3 linked regions of the Stegostoma tigrinum genome follow. The protein of the gene in region 2 interacts with the protein of the main gene of each other region in a biochemical or structural test. Links are inferred from orthologs where the notes say so. Each region holds a gene or a part of one and is shown on either strand. Other genes may lie near its edges.

What was found. The genes of interacting proteins can lie anywhere in the genome.
Region 1: the proteins of ribosomal protein S6 kinase 2 alpha-like (region 2) and lnx1 interact in a test that uses a peptide from one of them, tested with the Homo sapiens proteins (2 studies listed by BioGRID and IntAct). The link is inferred for Stegostoma tigrinum from reciprocal best matches to the Homo sapiens genes RPS6KA1 and LNX1.
Region 3: the proteins of ribosomal protein S6 kinase 2 alpha-like (region 2) and microtubule-associated serine/threonine-protein kinase 1-like interact in a test that uses a peptide from one of them, tested with the Homo sapiens proteins (2 studies listed by BioGRID and IntAct, with this or other methods). The link is inferred for Stegostoma tigrinum from reciprocal best matches to the Homo sapiens genes RPS6KA1 and MAST1.

The regions. Positions count from the first base shown.
Region 1 is NC_081354.1:107,522,637-107,530,757, reverse strand, and holds the start of lnx1 (E3 ubiquitin-protein ligase LNX), read left to right. Parts: upstream 1-4,966; 5' UTR 4,967-5,051; intron 5,052-5,164; exon of another isoform or gene 5,165-5,279; intron 5,280-8,121.
Region 2 is NC_081377.1:32,187,440-32,194,941, reverse strand, and holds the start of ribosomal protein S6 kinase 2 alpha-like, read left to right. Parts: upstream 1-4,272; 5' UTR 4,273-4,519; coding exon 4,520-4,582; intron 4,583-7,502. UniProt on the Homo sapiens protein: Serine/threonine-protein kinase that acts downstream of ERK (MAPK1/ERK2 and MAPK3/ERK1) signaling and mediates mitogenic and stress-induced activation of the transcription factors CREB1, ETV1/ER81 and NR4A1/NUR77, regulates translation through RPS6 and EIF4B phosphorylation, and mediates cellular proliferation, survival, and differentiation by modulating mTOR signaling and repressing pro-apoptotic function of BAD and DAPK1.
Region 3 is NC_081388.1:17,541,626-17,549,376, reverse strand, and holds the start of microtubule-associated serine/threonine-protein kinase 1-like, read right to left. Parts: upstream 3,156-7,751; 5' UTR 3,096-3,155; coding exon 3,013-3,095; intron 1-3,012. UniProt on the Homo sapiens protein: Microtubule-associated protein essential for correct brain development. Appears to link the dystrophin/utrophin network with microtubule filaments via the syntrophins. Phosphorylation of DMD or UTRN may modulate their affinities for associated proteins.

The DNA.
Region 1 (8,121 bases), on a different chromosome or scaffold from region 2:
TAACTCCTTTCATATTTCATTTTTATTTATCTAAAAATTGCATGTACCAAGAATGCAGAGCAGTTCTGTATACTGAAAGGCATTAATTATTCAAGAATAAAAAGAAACTTAATTAAAGTTTCGGCAACCATTAACTTAGTTTGTCACTCGTAATAAGCCACACAGATTGAAATGTAATAATGAGTAAAGAACAGAGGCAATGTAATCAAGTGTTACAGAAACAGCCATGTAATTAGTTATAATAACCAGTGTTTTACAAGACATTAATTACTGCTGATGAGTAGAAAAGACTTTTTGATGTCTTAAAATATATTTTCACTTCCAGTGCCAGTCACCATCTGAAGTCTTAAACTAGATTGTTCATGAGATGTTTGGAGATGTCAAATTTGCAAATGTTTTGGTCTCTAAATGAGAAATTATGATAATGATCTCATGAAGTGTGCAGATCCTGGTAATACCGCTTTGAGGATAAAAAGCTATTTTGAAATAATAATGAACTCTTTACATTATGACATAAGAATGCTCATGTCCAGAATAGTCTTGCCTTGTTTGTTCAATCAAATGGATTTCCAGCTTTGGTGCTAATGCAGTGTGAAATGGAATGAATGAATTTGTACCATGTCTATGTAAATCCACTTTTATTATGATTCTGAAAAAGGTTTTAAACTCTGTTTAAACTGCTTTGCAAATAGTTCCAATGAAAATTGCTCCATTAAAATGTTGCCTATTAGGGGTTTCTGTGATTTTGGTCATTCTATTAAGAGTTTCAAAGTTAAAATTATGATTTTCTGGACAGTTCCCTGACACACCGTCAAGTAATGTCTACAAATCACTGAAAATAGTTTCCATAGATAAAAATATCCACCTTTTTTTGAGCAACTGTAAGTTTGAAGATCCAACATTATGCTTTAAATGGAGGAACTAATTACAGATTGCATAAAAACTTGATTACATTCAACCAATCAAATTATCTTTATTTTACTAGCTTCAATAAGTTTCTCAATCAACATCAAAGTCTCTCCCAAAAGTCTGAGCTTGATGGTCCACAGATTTTTTTTTGTTAATTTTTAGATATATAACAAATGATGCATTCGGAGCATGTATACCTTCATTTGGGGTTCACAGTTGTTTTGTGGCAATGTCCCCACCTCTTAGTCAAGAGAGCTGGCTTCAAGTTTCAACCTGCTCCAGAGGTTTGTAATAATATCACTGAACAGATTAATTAGAAAATATTGATCCCCATTTGGAATGACAGGCTGACCTAAGATCCAGCCTCAACAACATTAATTGAGAGAGCAGCCAATACCTGAGAAGCTTGCCATTTTAAAAAGGCTAATTTTAAGCCTCTTCCCTAGATTATGACACTTTAAGTTCTGCTATTTAGATTATCCCTTCATTTCTGAAATTCCCTTTATGTTCACTAGTCCTACCATGAGCCACAACTTCTCCTAATACTTAGGTGTTAATCATGACTGGGAGGGTTAAACTCTTCATTCTAAAAAGGTAATTGTGGATATGCACTTCTCACAAACGTAGGCATGAATGAATTCTTTTGGAAAGTTTAGGTTTTCCATTGAAGACATTCTCAGTAGATAATTTGCTTCTACTTACACACTGCGAATTATATTACTATGCATGGTGCAGTGGCACAATCTACGAAGCTATTCAGGGCTAAGCCAATATTATAATAGAGAATGGAGTATCATTGCTGTCAATTCCCTGACTATCCTCAGTTAATCTTTAAAAGTCAATTATCTTCTTTTACAGAAGGCTTCTAGACACCACAGGAGTCATTTTTGCTGCTATTTCTGTCCAGTTACTTATTTTTACTTTTTTTTATCTCTGCTCACAATCTACTATCCCAAATTGCTGATCACAAACAAACGCTGCTGTTCCACATACTTTCTAAAGAAATCAGTAACTATTAGCCTTATGTTTATATTGGAACTATAGTCCGATCAGTTGGCCCGAAACCTAAAATTCTAACGGGATACTTGAAAGAAAGATGTTCTATTGGTGAGGGAGTCCAGAACCAGGGGTAACAGACTAAGGATATGGGTTCAACCATTCAGGACTAAAATGTAAATAAATTTCTTCACCCAGAGAGGGATGAGCCTGTGGAAATTGCTGGCACAGAAAGCAGTTGAGGGCAGTACATTGTCTGATATCCAGGAAGAGTTACAATCATAGAATCCCTACAGTGCAGAAAGAGGCCATCCAGCCCATTGAGTCTGCACCCACCTTCTGAACACCGTCTCCCACCCCTGTAACCCATGAGTTTCCCATGGATAATCCATCTAGCCTGCACATTCCTGGACACTGTAAGGCAATTTTAGCATGCCCAATCCACCCAACTTACACATCTTTGGATTCTGGGAGGAAACCCACGCAGACACAGGGAGAATGTGCAAACTCCACACAGACAGTCACCTAAGTCTGGAATTAAACCCGAGTCCCTGGTGATGTGAGGCAGCAGTACTGTGTCATTTGGAGCTAAACGGATCAAAGGATATGGTGCGAAAGCAAGATGGGTGGTCAGCCATTACCATAATGACGGGTAGAGCAGGGTCAAAGGGCCAAATGGCCTACTCCTGCTTCTATTTTCTATGTTATGGCAAATGTGTTAATGCACAGACCACGATCAGTAGTCCCAAATCTCGAACTATATCTAATAAAACTCACAAACTACGAATTATGGAAAATAATTCCTATTTGGGATATAAATTAGGGATCACCACCCTTAATTGTGGCTATTAATAACAGCATAGACAAGATAAAGAAATAGAAACATGAAAAGATTGGTGCAAACAGGCTGAGTGGTCTTTTTCTGCATGGTAACACTTTTGTGGTTGAAGCGCATGGAGGCTACAGAAGGAACTCCTGGGGGAAATACTAGAGAACCAAGTTCGTAACACCTGAAGAGTGTATATCTGAAAGCTAGCTATCTGAAGGGTTATACCTAAAGAGTTTGTTCTTGAGTAGCGTGTTCGTGGCAGGCAACCATATCTGAAACTGTGCGTATCGGAGGAGTGTATATCTCGGAGTGCAAATACCTGACGTCTTCAAGAGCTGCAGAAATTCACCAAGAATCTTTAGACAATACCTTCCAAACCTATGGCCATGCCCACCCAGAAGGTCAATTGCAGCAGATAATCAGAACAGCACCATCTTCAAGTTTCTCTCCAAGCCACCATCCTAACTTGGAAATATTATCATCGTTCCATCAATGTTCCTGAATGATCCTGGAACTCCCTCCCCAATGATTCTGTGAGTCTATCTACACTTAATGGACCGCAGCTTCAAGAAGGCAGCACACCAGCACCTTCTCTGGGCAGGTAGGGGTGGGCAATAAATGCTGACTAACCACTGACACCTAGATCCCGTAATGATTATTTTAAAGTGTGGGCTGGATGAACGCAGCAGGCCAAGCAGCATCTTAGGAGCACAAAAGCTGATGTTTTGGGCCTAGACCCTTCATCAGAAAAGATTAGATTCCCGACAGTGTGGAAACAGGGCCTTCAGCCCAACAAGTCCACACGGCCTCTTGGAGCATCCCAACCAGACCCATCCCCCTATGACCCCCATGTTGTGGGCAATGCGGGAGACATGGTCGAGGGTGTTCTTGATCAGTGCGGGGGCGGAAGTTGCGGTCCTTGAAGAACGAGGACATCTGGGATGTGCGGGAGTGGAATGCCTCATCGTGAGAGCAGATGCAGTGGAGGCAAAGGAATTGGGAATAGGGGATGGAATTTTTGCAGGAAGGTTGGTGGGAGGAGATGTATTCTAGGCAGCTGTGGGAGTTGGTGGGCTTGAAATGGATATTGGTTTTTAGATGGTTGCCTAAGATGGAGACAGAGAGATCCAGGAAGGAGAGGGATATGTTGGAGATGGTCCAGGTGAATTTGAGGTTGGGGTGGAAGGTGTTGGTGAAGTGGATGAACTGTTCAAGCTCCTCTTGGGAGCACGAGGCGGCGCCAATACAGTCATCAATGTAACGGAGGAAGAGGTGGGGGCCACAACGATGCCACACGAAGGTTGCAGGAACAGCAACTCATATTCCGCTTGGGAACGCTGCAGCCCAATAGGATCAATGTGGATTTCACATGCTTCAAAATCTTCCCTCCCGCCAATGCATCCCAAAACCAGCCCAGCTCATCCCCGCCTTCCTAGCCTGTCCTTCCTCTTACCTATCCCCTCCTCAAGCCACACCTCCATTTCCTACCAAGAAAACAAAGTGTGGAGCTGGATGAGCACAGCAGGCTAAGCAGCATCTTAGGAGCACAAAAGCTGACAGAAAATCTGATGAAGGGTCGAGGCCCGAAACGTCAGCTTTTGTGCTCCTAAAATGCTGCTTAGCCTGCTGTGTTCATCCAGCTACACACATTGTTATCTCAGATCCTCCAGCATTTGCAGTTCCAATTATGTCCATTTCCTACCTACTAGCCTCATCCAGCCCCCTTGAACTGTCTGTCCTCCCTGTACTGACCTATCTCCTCCCTACCTCCACACCTACACTCACCTTCACTGGCTCCATCCCCGCCTCTTTGATCTGTCTGTCTCCTCTCCACCTATCTTCTCCTCTCTCCATCTTCTATCCGCCTCACCCTTTCCTTATTTATTTCAGAACCCTCTCCCCATCCCCCTCTCTGATGAAGGGTCTCAGCCCTACACGTCAGCTTTTGTGCTCCTAAAATGCTGCTTGGCCTGCTGTGTTCATCCAGCCCCACACTTTGTTATCTTGGTTTCTCCAGCATCTGCAGTTCCCATTATCTATGATTATTTTAAAACCCGTGATCTGTGTATCTGGGCTGTATATGCTCAATGAATGTGTACCGTGGACCGTGGGTACCTGTGAGGTGTAAGTCTGAGGGGTGTATGCCTGGAGAGTGTGTAATTGGCAGTGAAGAGTCGAGGGGCGGGGACTGTGTGGGGTGGATACCTGAGCTGTGTTCTGTATTATGGCTGTAGGCAAGTTACCGCATTTCAGTTTTACTTTATTTATCAAGCAATTGCTTACTTTCTGATGCTTTTCTCTCTCTTTTTGGTGAAAAGTGAGTAAGTAGTTAATTGTATGTGACGGAAATATTCGCTGGTGTGAAATCATTCCACGATAGTTTGTAAAGGTGAACTGGATAAAATAGTGAACACTGCTTTCTCTTTCAAGTTTTATATCCGCTCTCTGTTGGATGTGATCACCTTTGTCTCATTATTCCGCGCTCGGAATTATCGGAGCTACTTGTGTCCAACTTGATAGGCCGTGGCAGTTCCCAACAGAGCCGGTAATGTTCACGTGTGTTTACTGTAAACTTCACCAGAGCTCGTGGAAAGTATATTTTCTTTTGGTACCGGGTTACTGAGCTGACAAATCTGCAGTTTAAGCCGCTTTTTAAAAACAAAAGTAAACATTTAGATCAAAGTAAATTTTAAGAGGCTCAGTGGATGAGCTGTGAATTTGAATATTTCTCTCCAGTTATCAAAGTGGCTAGTTTTTTTTAAAAGACCGATTTCTGTTGTGTTTACAATAATGTAACCCCTTTTAGTACGTTCTATTTGATTTTTTTTACTGAATTTTATCATTTGTGTTGGTCCAATTTATTCATGCAAACTAACTTGTACCTTTATCCAGGTGAGTTGGTGTAGACAATGGATTGTGCACAATTCAAGCAGCTTTTGAGGTAGTAAATATTTTACGATTTCAGTGGAATGGAGGGCTGTTGGTTCGATTTATTCACAGGTTGGAAATCTCTTTCTGCATCAAAATGGTTGAATGTTTTAAGAAGCTTTGCAGTCGAGAATATTGGCATCTGTAGGATGAAAAACTGCTCTGTTGAAATCCTACTATGCACGGTGGAAAGATCAGTAGTTTCTGCACTTTGCATAGTTTCCTGTCAGTGTGCCAAAATAGATATGAAGCTTATCAAGAGGTGATTTTTTTTAATTGCAGCGTCAGGAATATGTTGCATTAGTTGGAGTGCAAAGGGTGGAATATATTGTACTGTAAGTGGTATATTCTAGATAATACAGTTGGTAAGGATCAACTTCTGTTTTTTGGTACTACACGATCAAAGCTCAGTAACACAATTTTAACCTCAGAACCTGTTTAATGTCCCTCCCTAATGGCATTATGGGTCTACCTGCACCAAATGGACATGGGCAGTCCAGCAAGGTAGCTGTTCACCACATTCTCAACACTTTGAGCCTGCTCTGCTGTTCAATAAGATCATGGCTGATCTGCTTTTAACCTCAACTCGAGATTCCTGCATATCCCCGCTAGTCCTTCACTCCCTTCATAATCAAGAATCTATCTACTTCTGATATTAAAGTATTTCAATTTTCTGCATCCACTGCCTTTCTGAGAAGGGAATTACAAAGATACTCAACCCTCTGAGAGAAAAACATTTCATCATCTCATTCCCGATAACTTGCAGTACCTTCATACTAACCTTTTGTGATACATGCACTAAGACACCCAAGTTTTTCTGCATCACCAAGCTGTGCCACATCTCAGGTAATAGGCTTCTCTTTTTCCTTCTGCCAAAATGGACAATTTCACATTTTCCCACAATATGCTCTATCTGCCAGATACTTGCCCCTCACTTAACTTATCTATAATTCTTATGTTCATTCCTCTCAAAAAACGATAGATTTCTATTAGGATTCTTAATTACTTGCTGTATCTGCATACTAAATTCATGCACTACAAAAAATAAATCCCTCTGCACCTTGGAATTTTGCAGTCATTCTTTGTTCAAGTACCAGTCTGCTTTAATTTATTCCTTCTGCTAAAATGAATGACATTTTTTTCCCACACACTCCACCTGCCAGATGTTTGTCCATTTCTTTAACCTATTTAAATCCCTTTTGTAGGCTACTTAGGTCCTCTTCGCAACTAACACAAAGGTACAGACCGATTTATAGAACAGTTAGATGTTGAGAACTTGGACAGCAAGGAGAGAGGGCAACAGTTTCATCACTTATTTGGAAGTTGCAGTTGGATGGCTTGTGTCTGATTTTGCCTAACTATAAACAAAGAATGCCATTTAAAGTCACAATTGATTTCCATGATTTACAAGCAGCCAGTTAATAAATTTCTAATAACCAGACTTTGAATTTGATAAATTTCCTGATGTGCATGACTGATTAAACTCACTTTTTTTGCTCGTGCATTATGTTATTTGTTAGTTATAGGAAGGAAGTGTGGTCGGATTTGAACTTGTTACCTCTCTGCTGTATAAATAGTAATTACATAATTAAGACTCAAGTGAGTTCATTGTTGTAGCCTATGGAATGTTAACAGTTGCTTTCTCATCTGCAAATGTGGGAAAGAAAATGAGGTGGGAGAGCAGTAGTGATAGGGGTCTGATTAGTTTGGAGACAGACATGTTTTTAAATATGACTGTAGGATGGTATGTTTCCTAGAGATAATGGGAACTGCAGATGCTGGAGAATCCGACATAACAAGGTGTAGAGCTGGATGAACACAGCAGGCCAAGCAGCATCAGAGGAGCACAAAAGCTGATGTTTCGGGCCTAGACCCTTTCCTGTCTGGTGTGAGGTCAAGGATGTCTCAGAGCAACTCAGGATATGATTCAGGGAGTTTGGGTGGGGGTGGTGTTTCATGATGGGTTCAATGTGTTGGGTAGGAGGGGGAATCCTGCAGTCAGTATTTAGGGAACTTGGTCGGAGTTTAGCAAGCAGGGCCTCAAAAGAAGAAGTAATCCCTGGATTACTCCCAGAGCCACACAAAAATGAGAATGGAAATAGAAGAATAAAGCAGATTAATGCATGGCTGGAAATATGATCTAGGAGGGTGGATTGCAGAAATTTTAAGGAAAGAAATGGAGTCTGAATCAGAGTTATACTGCATGTATGTGAATGCACAGAGTAAAGCCAATAAAATAGGGAGATGATTGCAGAGTGGTAAAGTCGTTGAAATGATGACTAGAATCCAGGGTAATGGTATAGTGACATGGGTTCGAATCCTGCGGTGCCAAAATTTGAATTTGATAAAGTCTGACCTAATGCCAACCATGTAGCCATTGTCATAACACTCTACCTGATTTACTGATGTCCTTTAGGGAAGCGAACCTGCCATCCTTGCCCAGTCCATCCTACATGATA
Region 2 (7,502 bases):
TTCAGAATAAATACATTGAATAGTACAGTCAAGGCACTGAACTTGTTTGTTACATTTTTGATGGATTTGTGTGTTCATTGTGGCCAAGAATTGCTGGAGAATGGAACAAATATTTGAAGAGAAGGGGACATAAACTGAGGGAGCCAAACTTAAAATTAATGGACAAGCTTATATAATCAGAACCATTTTAACCTCTGTCTGGCTTAACTTCCAAGTTCTGTTTATACAAGAGACTGGATGCCTTAGCACCAGCGGCAACACATGAACAACTATGAGGCAGCTCAAAATTTGCAGTTGCTGGGAATATGTACTGTGTCAGGACAGCATTACTAGTCTGACTGGGAAGGCTGACTTCAGAACCAGAAACATTTGGCAGCCAGCAGCATTCTCCAGTAAAGTAAAATGCTGTCTGCCATAGGCTGCAATATATACATTGTTGCAGCAGTTGCACTTCCTATGCTGCAGTGAGGAAATTGCCTCAAGGTGGTTCTCTGTCTGTCGAACTACTGATGAAGTCAGCAGCTCCTTCAGCTGGAATGCTGCAAGATACATGCAGCACAAACTGCAGTGACACTAGTCACAATGTAGGTCAGCTTTTCTTATAGGCACGCTGCATGGTCCTTTCTCACCAATACCAGAATGTTGGTAAAGTATGACTTTTTGTTTTTTCTTTTTCATTGGAAATAACTAAAACATTAGGCTTTATTTATTAAGTTTTACTGTCACGTGTACTCAAGTACAGGGATGCAGGAGCACAGTGAAAGGTTTACAATGTCACCATTCATGAAGCCATCTTAGGTTTCAAGCTACCTAGGTACAAAATCTTTGAAAAAATAAAGAAATGTTAAAAGTTGAACATTGCAGTTCTTGTCAGCATAAAGCAGTAAATAAGAAATAAAGTTAAAAGTTCCAAATTACAGTCCTTCATTAATCATGAACCTGCAGTTGCTCTGTGCTGGGCTTTTCTCACAGGGGCTCAAACTCTCTCCCGTGCTGGGCTTGACCTCTTGATCCCTGCACCTCCGTGCTGCATTCTCGCTGCCAATCACCATCTAACATGTTAATATATTAAAATACTAAATAATATGCTCTTCTATATCTCAATGTTAATAAGACAAAATATCAATCTCTTGCAAGTTGCTAAGATTGATCAGTAACCTGAAAAACTTAAATAAGGACTTTTATAGATCTTTGTTTGCAATCCCTGTGCTACTCTTTAATGCAGTATACACATAAATCAAAATCAAATGCTTCATTCCAGCAGTATATGCCAAGGCACGTAGAAAGAAATAAACTTTTCTAAACATTAGACATGTTATATTAACATTGGAGAAGCTAGAATTGGTCTCCCACTCCCATTTCTGATAATATTAACTCCATGTCCATATTAGCCAATATTGTAGATAGTTATACCTTCAGGTCCTCTATTCTCTAAATCTGCTGTCATCACACCTCTCCTTGACATTACCATGAAGGAGTCTCCTCTCAACTTCTCCTCTTACTCAAGGTCGGCACAACATCGAGGCCCGAAGGGCCTGTACTGTGCTGTAATGTTCTATGTGTAGTGATCCTCAAGTTAAACCACTGCCAGTAGTCTTCCTCTAATGAGACAGCAGTCTTATGGTCTGGTAAGACTATGGTGACTTTACACAGTAATAGAAGTGTACAGCATGGAAACAGGCCCTTCAGCCCAACCTGTCCATGCTGACCAGGTTTCCTAAACCAAATTAGTCTCCTTTTACTTTGAGAGATTACACTTTGATACTTCTTCCTTTGCAACTGACCATGTTTTCTATGATCTTCTGTTTCTTTCCAAAGTTCTTAAAAAGTGTTGTGGTCTCCCAAAATTTGTTCTAAACTTTTTCACAGCTCATGTTTGAATCCTTGCAATAAGGGCTCTGCAACACAGCAGCACCTAACAGGTCTTGTGAAAATCATAAATGACATCCTACATGATTGCAATAAAGGTACGATATTCCTTCTCATCCTGTGTGCAGTCTTTTACATGATCAATCACACGAATCCTCCTCGGCTGGGATTGGGCTCTTATAGCACAGTCATAATATCCCTACTTCTGATCCAGGAGGCCGAGATTTAAAACCCATCTGCTCCAAGGGTGTGTAACAACATTTGTGCACAGATTGGTTAGAAAATATCTATCACTGCTTCTAGCTGGGTCCATTCTTATCTAACTGTAGCCACTAGCAACAGCTTCTCTTCCTCAATCTCTCAGATATCTCTGACATCTTCCACAAATCTAAACTTGTCTCCCATTTGTCTTGCATCTACCTGCTGTCATTATCTAAAATCAGCGTTGGTTTTAAAAGTAGATTCCCACTCCATCTCATTACCTACTATCTTGACTTTTCCATGACAGTTAAATTACCGGTTTATCACAGAATCCATACAGTGTGGAAACAGACCCTGGGCGCAACAAGTCCACACCGACCCAGAGAGCCTATATAGACCCATGCCCCTCTCTCACCTAATCTACACATCCCTGAACACTACGGGCAATTTAGCACAGCCAATCCATTTAGTCTGCATATCTTTGGACTGTGGAGGGAAACTGAACCCGGGTCCCTGGTGCTGTGAGGCAGCAGTGCTAACCACTGAGCTACTCCTAGCGCACAGTACTGGGCCAGCAGAAATGTTTTCCAATCAAATATTAGGAGGTTTAAACTATTGTTTTTGGTTCCAGCTCCAATTCTGTTTCCTAACTACTATTTTCACTATGACTAATTCTGTCCCTCTTGCTAACAATTTTCTGAGAATCGGGCAGTCTGTTACTTAACTTGGTGTCACGTTCAATCCTGAGATGAACTTCTGACCTCATTCCTATGATCTCTAAAACTGTTTAATTCTAATTCTGTGACAAGTTTGTCCCTACCTTAGCTGATCTGCTCCTGAAACTCTCATTCATAAGAGCATAAGAACTAGGAGCAGGATTAGGCCATCTGGCCCTTGAACCTGCTCCACTATTTAATAAGATCTTTTTGAGACTCAGCTCCACTTGCCCGCCCACTCACCATAACCCTCAATTCCTTAACTGTTCAAAAATTTATCTAGCCTTGCCTTAAAAACATTCTGTGAGGTAGATTCAACAGCTTCAATGGACAGGGAATTCCACAGATCCACAACCCTTTGGGTGAAGAAATTCCTCCTGACCTCAGTCCTACGTCTGCTTCCCTTTAGTTTGCGGCGATGCCCTCTAGTCGTAGTTTCACCTGCTAGTGGAAACAACCTCCCTGCCTCCATCTTATTTATTTCCTTCATAATATGTTTCTATAAGATCTTCCCTCATTCTCCTGAATTCCAATGAGTATAATCCCAGTCTACTCAGTCTCTCCTCATAATCCAACCCTCTCAATTCTGGAATCAACTGAGTGAATCTCCTCTGCACCTCCTCCAGTGCTAGGATATCGCTTCTCAAGTAAGGGATCCAAAACTGCACACAGTACTCCAGGTGTACATACTAGTCATACCTACTTAGTTCTCGATTCAAGTCTTCCATTGCATTCCATACTACTCCCCCAAATTCTGCCCTCTATAAAGTTGAGGACATATATAGTTTTATAATACATTTGTGGACTTAATTACATTAGATGCATTAGATACACTTAAGCTGTTGTTGTTAATGTTCTTAAAGTGGAGAAGGGGAAATCGAATAGACCTATTCATTAACATTAGCCATTTTAGAGGAGCAAGTACAGAAAAAAAAACTTCCTTAGGCAGAGAGGAAAGGACCAGAGGTGATAGAGTTCAAATAACTGGCCACTAAGCCAGAGAGAAAATGAGGATACATTTCTTCTGGTTAAAATTTGAAACACACTATTTCAAAAAAAAATTCCAAATATAAAACAATTGAACGTGAAGAAAGGACCGGGCGAATACATCACAGAAATTTAACAGCACAGGAAAGGCCGATCGGCCCATCATGCACTTGCCCCTGAAATGAACATCAGTGGCGCCTGCCAATTTTCCGGTAACCACCCGTATCTTGCGCGGGACTAATTGAGCCTGTCCTTCATAGAACCCGTACAAATATGATGCGCCCGTTGGTGTCCTTCTGAGGTGTAACACTTTACGGTTGGAACGCTGAGGAGGACCACTTCCACACGCACGGCACCCATCGACGTTGCCTGACCTTTTCTGAGATTGCCATTAGAACCTCGTCCACTCCCCACCATTTCGTGCCATGCCACAGCCACACGTATGGACGTCGCCTGACGCGATGACGTAATCGCGCGAGGGTGGTGAGTGGCAGGCGCCAGAGAGCTCGAGCTGAGCAGCAGTTCACGATCGGAACCCGCGAGAAGGGAAGGGAAAAGAGCGAGAGAAGAGTCGGGTCTTGGTGTCACTTCACCCAGCGGTATAAACTCATCAGAAAGGATCCAATACTCTGTGCAGTTATCTCTCACCTACCTGGACAGAGCTCAGCGACAGCGGGCAACTCTCTCCGGAAACATTCACACTGACAGGGATTTGCCTCTTGTCCCGTTTCTCAGTCGGTTGCAGGATGCCGTTGGCACAGTTAGCTGGTCCTTGGCCCAAAGTGGACCTGGTTCACCTAGAGACCGAGGTAAATATTTGCAACAAGTCATAACCAGACTAGAGGGAGTGTAAACTCAGCTGAGAGAGAAATGTCATTCAGAAGGAAAAGCGATACTCTTAATCCAGCTCTTGCTGTTTGGCATACAGTGAGCTGACTTGCTAAGCTCCAGCGCTTGGGGAAATTCCTCAGAAGTTGAAAGGTCCAAGGTGGGCTTCTCCGATCGCTCACACTTTCCAATGGAGGGCGGGTTAGTGTACTAAAATCATTGTCAAATGTAGCTAAATTGCTGTTTGGGGCGCCGTTGAATTTTATCGAAACAGCATCTGCAGAGGATCGAAGCGGCAGGATAACAATTCAGTTACCTTAGGCATTGCAAATGTTGGTTATGTTGCCACATTGTGGTTGCAATTATGACTATTTTTTTGGGGAAAAAATATCAGTGTTTGGCAGTTGCGTGCTTTGTGTCACCGCGTCTTCTTTGTTCAGTGATTGCGTGTGGTATCTAGCCTCCGACTTAGGATTCTGCTAACTTCAAAAATATTAATTAACGCAAAAATGAGCGCATACCTTTATATCTTTAAAAGGACGTCACATTTACGGACATTTTTTGCCAAAATTGTTTTTTATTTAGAAAATAGTGAAATGAATTATGCCGCATATTGAAGCAGCAGCTGCTGATGAAAGTGACTCGAAAAAAAAGACTATGGCCCTAATGACATTATGAACACTTTATTTAACGCATGTATGACCTTGCACCCGCAGCTACCAAATGGTTTCGTCTTCCATAATTTTCGCTTTCTAACCAAAATAATGATTTGCCACATGCTTCGTGGAGTCATCACGCAGAATGAAAACCTGAGATTGGGAGAGCGGTGAAAAGGAATTGTGTGTACAGTGGGCAAGAAAGGAACGGAGTTGCATCTAGAGCGGAACTGCTAGACAATGTACTGGAATAATTTTATTGCATCCTTCTGTACTTGAGAAGCAGGGTTTAAAAGATGAACAACGGAATATTGAAAGAAAGTAGAAAGAAACACATTGATATTGAAGCAACATTTCCCGAGGGAGGAAATTGGATCTGGGGCAGTACTATAATAAAAGCTCCTGATGGATAAAACATTACGGTTCACTTTATAAATCAAAATCGGGCTGATACGTGGCAAAATTTAGGTTTCATGGCTTGCTAATCTATTACTTCTTTCACATTTTATTGAGAAAAAAGTATTCAAAGTGATAGCAACATTTCACAGCTGAATGTGCATATTAACAACATGCGACAGAAATATAATTCTTGAAAAACAATGGTTTGTTTAAAATAGTTTAATTGAACCAGTGAGGGAAAAGATCATCTGCAATTCCATTGGAGATCTAATCCATTAAATTCTCTAGAATTTGTTACAATAAATAGTTCTTGTTTTGGTATCTATTGATCTCAGGCACTGACTATTTTGGATAAGTTCTTGACTCAAGAGTGTGAACTATCCAGTTGAAATGTTCAGGTACCAATTAAGATTGCATAACTGTATAACAATGTTCCACCTGATAAGTCTTTGATTCTCCTCAAAAACACAATCTTTGCACTCAGAGTTCTTGCACTCTAGCAACCCAACACAAGATTGCTGCAGGCCATCATCAGCAGCAGAATTGTACTCAAACACAACTGCAACCTTGTATCAGAGATAATGGGAACTGCAGATGCTGGAGAATTCCAAGATAATAAAATGTGAGGCTGGATGAACACAGCAGGCCAAGCAGCCTTGTAATTTGGGAAATCCTCCACTTTACCATTTCCATCAGGTCAGGGGATCAACCCTAGTTCAATGAAGATTGCAGGAGGACATGCAAGGAGCAGCAGCTGATGTACCTAAAAATGGGATGTCAACCTGGTGAAGCTACACAACAGGACTATTTGGAGCCAAAATGAAATAATATTCAGAGTTAAGCAATCCAACCAATGGATCTGATCTAACCTTTGCAATTCTGCCACATCCAGTCATGAGGGGCACTGGACAATTAAACACCTCACTGAAGGAGGAGCTCCAAAAAAATCCCCATTGTCAAATGATGAAGGAGCCTAGCATGTCAATACAAAAGATAATGCTGAAGCATTTGCAACAGTGCTCTGTCAAAAGTGCCAGGTACTATATCAAGGAACTGTCGAAGGCACTACACACTGCATAGGCTCTGTCAATGTTCTGGCAATCGTACTGAAGCTATAAGCTGCAGAATTTGCTGTGCACCAAGACAAATGGTTCTAGGACAGCTGCAACACTGGCATCTACCTGACAATGTGGAAAATTGCTCAGATCCATTCTGTATAAAGCAGGGCAAATCCAATTAAGTTGGTTATGTTCGCCTCATTCTTCTCTCGATTATCAGTAAAATGATGAAAAGAGTCATCATAGTGTTATCAGGTTGCACTTTCTTAGCAAGAACCTGCTGTCTACACTCAGCTTGGGTTCCACCAGGGCCACTCAGCTCCTGACTTCACAACAGCCTTTGTTTAACAAAGACATCAAAGCTGCATTTGACCAAATGTGGTATCAAGGAGCTCTAGCAAAACTAATGTCAGTGGGAATCAGGGAGAATCTCTCCACAGTTTGGAGCCATACCTGAGGCAAAGGAAGATGATCGTGATTGTTGGAGGCCAGTCATCTTTGTTCCAGGATATCTTTTTGGGAATTCCAAGGGTAATGTCAGAGGCCTAATTGTCTTCAGCTGCTTCATCGATTACATCTTCATTATAAGATCAGATGTGGGAAGCTTCCTCAGAGAATGAAGCAGCCCACATTCAAATGCAGCAGGACCTGGATAATATCCAAGTTTGAACTGACAAGTGACAAGTGAAATTCACATCAAACAAGTGCCAGGGAATGATCATATCCAGCAAGAGTGAGCTTAACTTTCAGCCCATGACATTCAATGTCATTTCCATCACTGAAACTCC
Region 3 (7,751 bases), on a different chromosome or scaffold from region 2:
TAGAGAAGTAAAATCCCATTTCACATCCCTCAGATGCAAAGGTAATTGGGAAGGTTCACTATGAAGGTCACTCAATGGTCAATCTCATACACAATCATGAAAGTCACATATTTTAGAACTCATTTTTCACCTGAGCTCTTAAAAATATTTTATCCTGCTATGACTTAACAGCTAGACACATTCTGAAATGCTGAATGACAAATCAAAAAGGCAAGACTGAAATGATCTGATTACAAGAGTGTGTGCCTGCATATGTGCATACCGCTATGTTTGTGAATGTTGATGTGATCAGCCATGATCATAATGAATGGTGGTGCTGGCTTGAAGGGCCGAATGGCCTACTCCAGCACTTATTGTCTATCATCTATTGATGTCTAGATAGGCAGCTTTATCGTTATTTGTCTGCTTATTTGTCTTCTGCATGCCTTGGAAGGGAACTTGCATGTGGTGGCATTACCATGCCTTTGTTTTCCCTTGCCCTTCTAGACGATAGGGATCATGGATCTGGAAGGTGCTGTTGAAGGATCTTGGTCAGTTGCTACAGCACACCTTCTAGATAATACATACCGCCGCAACTGTGTGCTAGTTAATGGGGTGCCAATCAAACAGGCTGTTTTTTTTCCTGGATGGTGTTGAGCCCGAGTGCTGTTAGAGTTGCATCCATCTATCAAACTTCACGTTGCATCAGACTCTTGACTTGTGCCTTGTAGACGGTGGACATTGGTACATATGGTAGGTACACTATAGATATGTCAGTTGCAGATTTGGTGGATGCCCCACATTACCACCTTCGTAGAAGGCCAACAGAATTAAAGGTCAAGCGGGCATCTAAGTGGGCACAGTGTGGCCTTTCCCAGGATTACTACATTGGTATAGAAATCCCGTATCCCACTCCCAAGAGTTGTTGCTCAGTCAGAGGCCAAGGAAAGACCTAGAATGATTGAGGAACCCAGGCCTCAGATGAATGAGGATTGGAGGGGTTGCAGGATGGAAGTCATAACAGGAGGGTGAAGGGCAAGGGTCATCAACAAGAGCAGAGGGCCCTCCCCTGCCATGTGCTGTTGCAAAAGGATGCAGGTATCTGAAAAGGTCAATGTTGAGGAATGCTTTAACCACTGCTCAATAGGATGATGTCACATTGTGGGAGATCTCATAGAAGTAAAACTTATCATTGAAGTCTCCTTATCGTCCCAGTAACAATATCTACCAGTTGCATTGTTATCATGCCAAAAGCTATAGCATTGGAGTTGTTGCTCTTAGAGCAGAGAAGGCCAGGAAGGAGAGATAAAAAGGTGTAGAGCTGGATGAACACAGCAGGCCAAGCAGCATCAGAGGAGCAAGAAAGCTGACGTTTCAGGCCTAGACCCTTCTTCAGAAAAACGCTAAGGAGGAACCTGACTGGGGTAAACCAAATGCTGAGAGACAGAGAGACAGGGTAGTTGGGGGGAAACCTTTCTCCTTATTAGAGGGGTCACTAACTGCAAACATACTTTTAAGTTAAGGAACGGGAGTTTGAGGCGAGTTGAGGAAATGGTGTTTCACCCAGAGGTTTGTGGGTATCTGGAATTCACTGCCTAAAGGGTGGTAGAGGCAGAACCCTCAAGACATTGAAAAAGTATTTAGATCAACACTTGAAATGCCACAGCTTACAAGGCTACAGGCCAAAATGGTGTTACAATAGATGAATATTGGATGACCAGTATGGACATGATGGGCCAAAGGGCCTCTTTCAGTGCTTTTAAAAAGTCTATGACTTTGTTCTCTACAAACCCCACTTCTTGTTAGACCAGCCGGAAGTGATTGCCCTCCATTATGCTGGAGTCTGCAAGCTCTGTGGATCCCTACGCTGTAAAGGGAATGGCAGCAGAAAACCTCAGCAAACAGCCGCTCACAGTGTAGAAATGTGACTGCGCATACAACAACAAGAACTGCCTATGTAACACAGGCTGGGCCCTTTGAGCATGCACTGAGTGCTTTGAACAAGGGACGCTTCCTGGGACCCCACCAGCAAACACATGGGGTTTTGTTTTTGGGCCTCTTGTTGATATCAACCATGCCTGAATTGATTGGCCACTTAAGGACCTCAAGTGGCAACAGGTAGAAAGGCTGTCCACGAGATTTCCTGCCCCATATATAAACGAGGGAGAGGTGGCAGGCAGTGTTCCAATTGAGCACCCTTTCACTCAACTAAATACCCCTGTGCCTCCAAACTTAAGGGGAAAGGCATCAAATTCTGCTCCGTGTTTCTTTGTACGTTTCTGTGCAACTGTAGATGTTGGTATGGATTATGGGTATTTTTATCTATATGTGTGTATCTATGTACACGTAGGTCTATACTTGACTGTGCACAAGTATGTCTGTGTGCTTGCATGTGTATAATTATATGCATATACATGTACATACGTGTGTGCACATTTTGTGTATGTGTGTGATACCAGTAGAGTCGTACACAAGAGGAATCCCAGCACTCGAAAAGGTGCCAAAGTGGAACAATAGAATCCATCTCAGCATTTGCTGAGCTTCTCTTCCGTTCTGATAATCAGTGTCACACCCACCAGCGGGTACAGCTCCCGGCATGAATTTTTTTTAACTTCACAATGAGAGCCACAAGCTCGCAATCCCTCTATTCTTTGCAAGTACACAGGCACACACAAATAAAAACGGACATCTGGCACCTTGCGTCTTACCAAGGTGAACCGCTGAGAACTCAGTGCTTGATGGCTGCATGCATTGCTGCTTTTCACAGCCCAGCATCTTTACAGCAAGGTTGGGTGGGAGGGAGGAATTTAATCCCTCCTTCTCAGTATCCGTGCAATAACCACAGCCCTTTCCCCTCTTCAGACATCTACCTCTCCCTCCCTACTTAGTGACTGTCCCACCGTCCTGAAACAAGCAAATATGTTGTATGTGCGCACACACACACACAGGTAGGTTTGACCTTCTCTCGCACATCCCCTGTCACAGCCACGCCAGAACATGCCTTTTCTTTGTTCAAAGGAGCCTCTCAGTTACCTTTTGGAACGTCGGAACATGCTGTTATCAAGGAAGTACGGCATAGAAAAATTAGACAGAACAGTCCAGAGGGAGTCAGACATGGTACTGCAGAGCTGACATTGTGATGGTGGCGTTAGGTTGGTCCACAGCACCGTCTAGCCACCGAGGAAGGAAAGCTGTAGTAATTCCCTCGATGGGTTTGGCAGATTATTCCACCGGTCTGGGAAGGGGAGGATGCTACGCGTGTGAGAGAGAGTGTAAGAGAGTCTCTCTGTATGTGTGTGAACGCATTGCCACCAACAGTCTGGAAGAGCTGGCACCTCTTCAAACCCCCACCCCCTGTTCCTGCATCGTCAAGAATCTGCCCCAGAGCTCAGGCACAATCAGTCAGCCCCACATTTGCCCCCGCCATATGGGAGTGTTCGGGGGGTTGGGAGGAGACGGTGTCTATTCATAAAGCTGCCGTCAATTTATCCGGATTTCAGCTGAAAAGTCCAGACCAAGAGGCTGCCAGAGAAGATGAAAGATCACAATGGGAAAGGGAGAAAAGCTAGAAAAATGATAAGTGAAAGAGGCAGACAAGAGAGAGAAAAGAAACAACGGAGACAAAGAGACAAAAAGGGGCAGAGATAATGACAGAAGGAGGAATTTGAGGGAGGGATAGGCACACCTACAGAAATAGGGACTGATACAAATTCAAATACGACAAGAGTCAAGAGATGGAGAGAAAGAAGGAGCGAGGTATAGTCGAAGGAACATCGGGATACAGAGGGAAGCAGAGACTCAAATACTCACATTCATAGTCTCATCTTACTCTTACACACATTCATATATGCACGCAGCCACGCACATTCTCAGTATACCTTACACACTACACACTCTCACATACATACTTGTCTCTCTCACGGAAAGAGAACGACAGTCCATTCGCCCCTCAAGTTTAAGGTCAGGGACAGATGGAGACTAAGCTAGAGTGAATTAGAATCAGAGCGAGACATGCTCTGAAAAACAGACAAAGAGATAATCGTACAAAGGTAGGAAGTGAAAAATAGAAGCAGACACAAACACAGGAGAGGATAACAGTAGAGAGACCGATTGTGTCAATTGCTGTCTTTCTATCACGATGACACTCAGGAACGGAGTGAAACACAGAAGCAGAAAACAGCAGATCATTAAAAGAGAGAAGCCAAGAGAAAGACTGGGACTGAAACAGTGATTGATTAGAAGCAACTTGAAAGACATAACAGATTTTTTCAAAAAAGTACAAAGATGGAATGATTTAAAATTTTATATGCACAGAAAAGTCTGTCAAACCCTCCTCAACCACATGGAGTCACCAGCCTCTCAACAAAACTAAAGCAGTTTGAACAGGGCTGTGTTCCCTACACACCCTCCCAGTTGGGCTTGTTCAACCTGCATCCTTACCCTGTCTGCACCAAAGACCAAGTTATGCAGTCCTGAGCCACAGTAACAAACTCTATTTATGAAGCAACATTACCATAGGAAAACATTCTAAGATGCCTCATCACAGTGAGTTTGACACTAAGCCATATAAATTGAAATAACTGCACAGAAACCAGTATCCAGTCACCAAGTCACCCTTCATCTATGTGTGCACAGTAAAATCAGGAGGGCCTCTGAATCCCCTGTTTATATCTGTCAGCCAGGGCTTTCTGACTGGCCCAGGTTAACAACCCCAATCAAAGGTCTCATAGTCAATAAGATCTACCTGTTTCCAATCACAACATAAGGAGCTTGCAGGGTGAACAGCCAAAAGCCTGGGCAAAGAGGTAGGTTATAAAGAGCATCTTGAATGAGGGGAGAGATGTGAAAGACAGAAGGGTTTAATGAGAGAATTCCAGGAGTTTAAGATCTGGCAGCTGAAAGCACAGTCAGCCATGGTGCAAGGAATGAAATCTGTGATGCTCAAGAAGCCAGGATGGTGTGATGACATTTTAGAGGGTTGTGAAGTTGCAGGTCAACTACAGACAGAAGAGGTGAAGCCAAGGTTGGATCTAAGGCAGATATTAAAGTTTTAAAATGTAGGAATTGACAGATCAAAACACATAGATTGTTCAATTGATAGAGTTCAGAATCCGATTGACTACCTACACCAGAAATGCTTTTATTCATTTGAGGGATATGGATGTTGCATTTTACATGACTATTTATTGCCAATCAATTATTGTCCTTCAGAAGACACAAAAGGTGAACTGTCTTCTTGAACTGCAGCAGTGTATATGCTGTAGGTAGACCCACAAAGCCATGAATGAGGGAGTTCCATGATACAGAGCCAAGTGACAGTAAAGGAACAGTGATATATTTCCAAGTTGGGATGATGTGGGAACTTGCAGCTGGTGGTGTTCCCTTGGAACTAGTGTCAATATCCTTCTCAATGGTAATGTCATGGGTTTGCAAGATGTTTGTAGATGTTACACTGATTATATTCAATGGTGGTGGTGAAGGGAATGAGTGCTGAAGATGGTGATGGAGTGCCAATCCAGCAAAGTTGTTTTGTCTTGGATGGCGATGAATTTCTGAAGCATCAGTGGAGCTGCACTCATTCAGGCAAATGAAGAGCACACTCTTGACTTGTGTCTTGGAAATGGTGCGCAGGCACTGGGGAGACAAAAGGTGAATCACTCATCTCAGCATTCCCAGCCTCAGATCTGTTCTGGTAGCCAGAATATTGATCAGACAGGTCCAGTTCAGTTTCTGGTCAATGGAAACCCCTGCCATGTCAATAGCCTTAATCAATCTCTTTCAGAGAGACTGGCTGAGGGAGTAAACATCCTTCCTTTGTATTATTCAAAGTTCTTTGCTTCTTTATGCAGATATATACATTTTCCAGGTATCCGCACTTTTATAATAATCAATACTCTCCACTTCATGTCTCAATTTCCAAAGCCCGTTGTATTCCTCATAATACAGTACGAACCTTTATCCATTTTAATGCTTGGGGTAAATCCATATTTTGAAAAGGCCATTATTTCACACTTCATATTTACCTGTAGATGTGCTGCTGATTCCCAGCATATCAATGAGACAGGATGTGATGAGCTGGGATGAATGATCGATTTCTCTACCCTGTCACCTTGTTTATTGATTCATTCTTTTCAATGTCATTTTGGCAATTTGGGACCAGCCTCCTCATCTTACCTTGGATGACGATCGTGGTGCTGGGCATGTCATTGACTTGCCTTCCAGCAAAATACACAGAGGAAGACTTGTCACGGTATGTTGGGAGTTCGAGGCCACTGCAGAAAACTAAGTACGATATGCAGGTTGACAATACTAAAATGTAGGAAGTACTGCACTGTCAGAGATGATGCATTAAACAGAGTCTTGGTGTCTGCATAAAACACTTGAGCATCTGATCTCTTTGTGAAACATTTGAGGACTGATCTCTTCATCAAACACGTTCAAGAAAATAGTTCATGGCTCACAACAAAGATATATTCTAGTGAGAAAGAGCGATTCTAGGAAGGGGGTAAGCCAACAATGATGATCCAGGGATGTTAAGGATAGCATTGTATTGCTATCCACTCTGTCTGTACCCCTCATGATTTTGTAGACCTCAATCAGATCCCCCCTCAATCTCCATCTTTCTAATGAAAATAATCCTAATCTACTCAACCTCTCTTCATAGCTAGCACCCTCCATACCAGGCAACATCCTGGTGAACCTCCTCTGCACCCTCTCCAAAGCATTCACATCCTTTTGGCAATGTGGCGACCAGAACTGTACACAGTACTCCAAAAGTGGCCGAACCAAAGTCCTATACAACTGCAACATGACCTGCCAACTCTTGTACTCAATACCCCGCCCAATGAAGGAAAGCATGCCGTATGCCTTCTTGACCACCCTATTGACCTGCGTTGTCACCTTCAGGGAACAATGGACCTGAACACCCAGATCTCTCTGTTCATCAATTTTCCCTGGGACTTTTCCATTTACTGTATAGTTCGCCCTTGAATTTGATCTTCCAAAATGCATCACCTTGCATTTGCCCGGATCTCGGCCCGAAACGTCAGCTTTTGTGCTCCTAAGGTGCTGCTTCGCCTGCTGTGTTCATCCAGCCCCACACTTTGTTATCTCGGGTTCTCCAGCATCTGCAGTTCCCATTATCTCTGATACAAAATTAAGACTCCATTGTGTTGGGGGCAGTATATCAGCAGGGACAGGGGATTGGCTAACCAATAGAAGACAGAGAGTTGGGATAAAGAGGCATTTTTAGGATGGCAATCTGTAATAAGTGGAGTGCCACCGCAGATCGTGCTGGGCCCACAATTTCTTACAACTTATGCACTTTGTCAGGAAGAATGAAGGAGCTGAATATGATTTAAGTGGAGAAAGACTGATGAAGGCCACAGCACATAAGAATTTGGGAGTCAGTCCTTGTGCACAAATTACAAAAAAGATGAGAATAAGGGTTTGTCCATTTAAGACCAAGAGAATAAGGATTCTTTTTCTTCTCTGAGGGTAGTGAACCTCTTTATCGTAGAGAGTTGTTGAGGCTGGATCATTAAGTCTATTCGAGGTTGAGATAGTCAAATTTTTAATGCACACGGGAATCAAGAATTATGGGGAAAAGTCAGGAAAGTGAAGCTGAGCCACAATCTCATTGAACAGCAAAACAGATTTGATTGATTAATTGGGCACTTTCGTTTTGATGTGTTACGGTCTTACTCATTGACCAGGTCGCTATACAAATCATCCATAAACTAGATGTCTATAATTCTAATCCAGAACTAGGT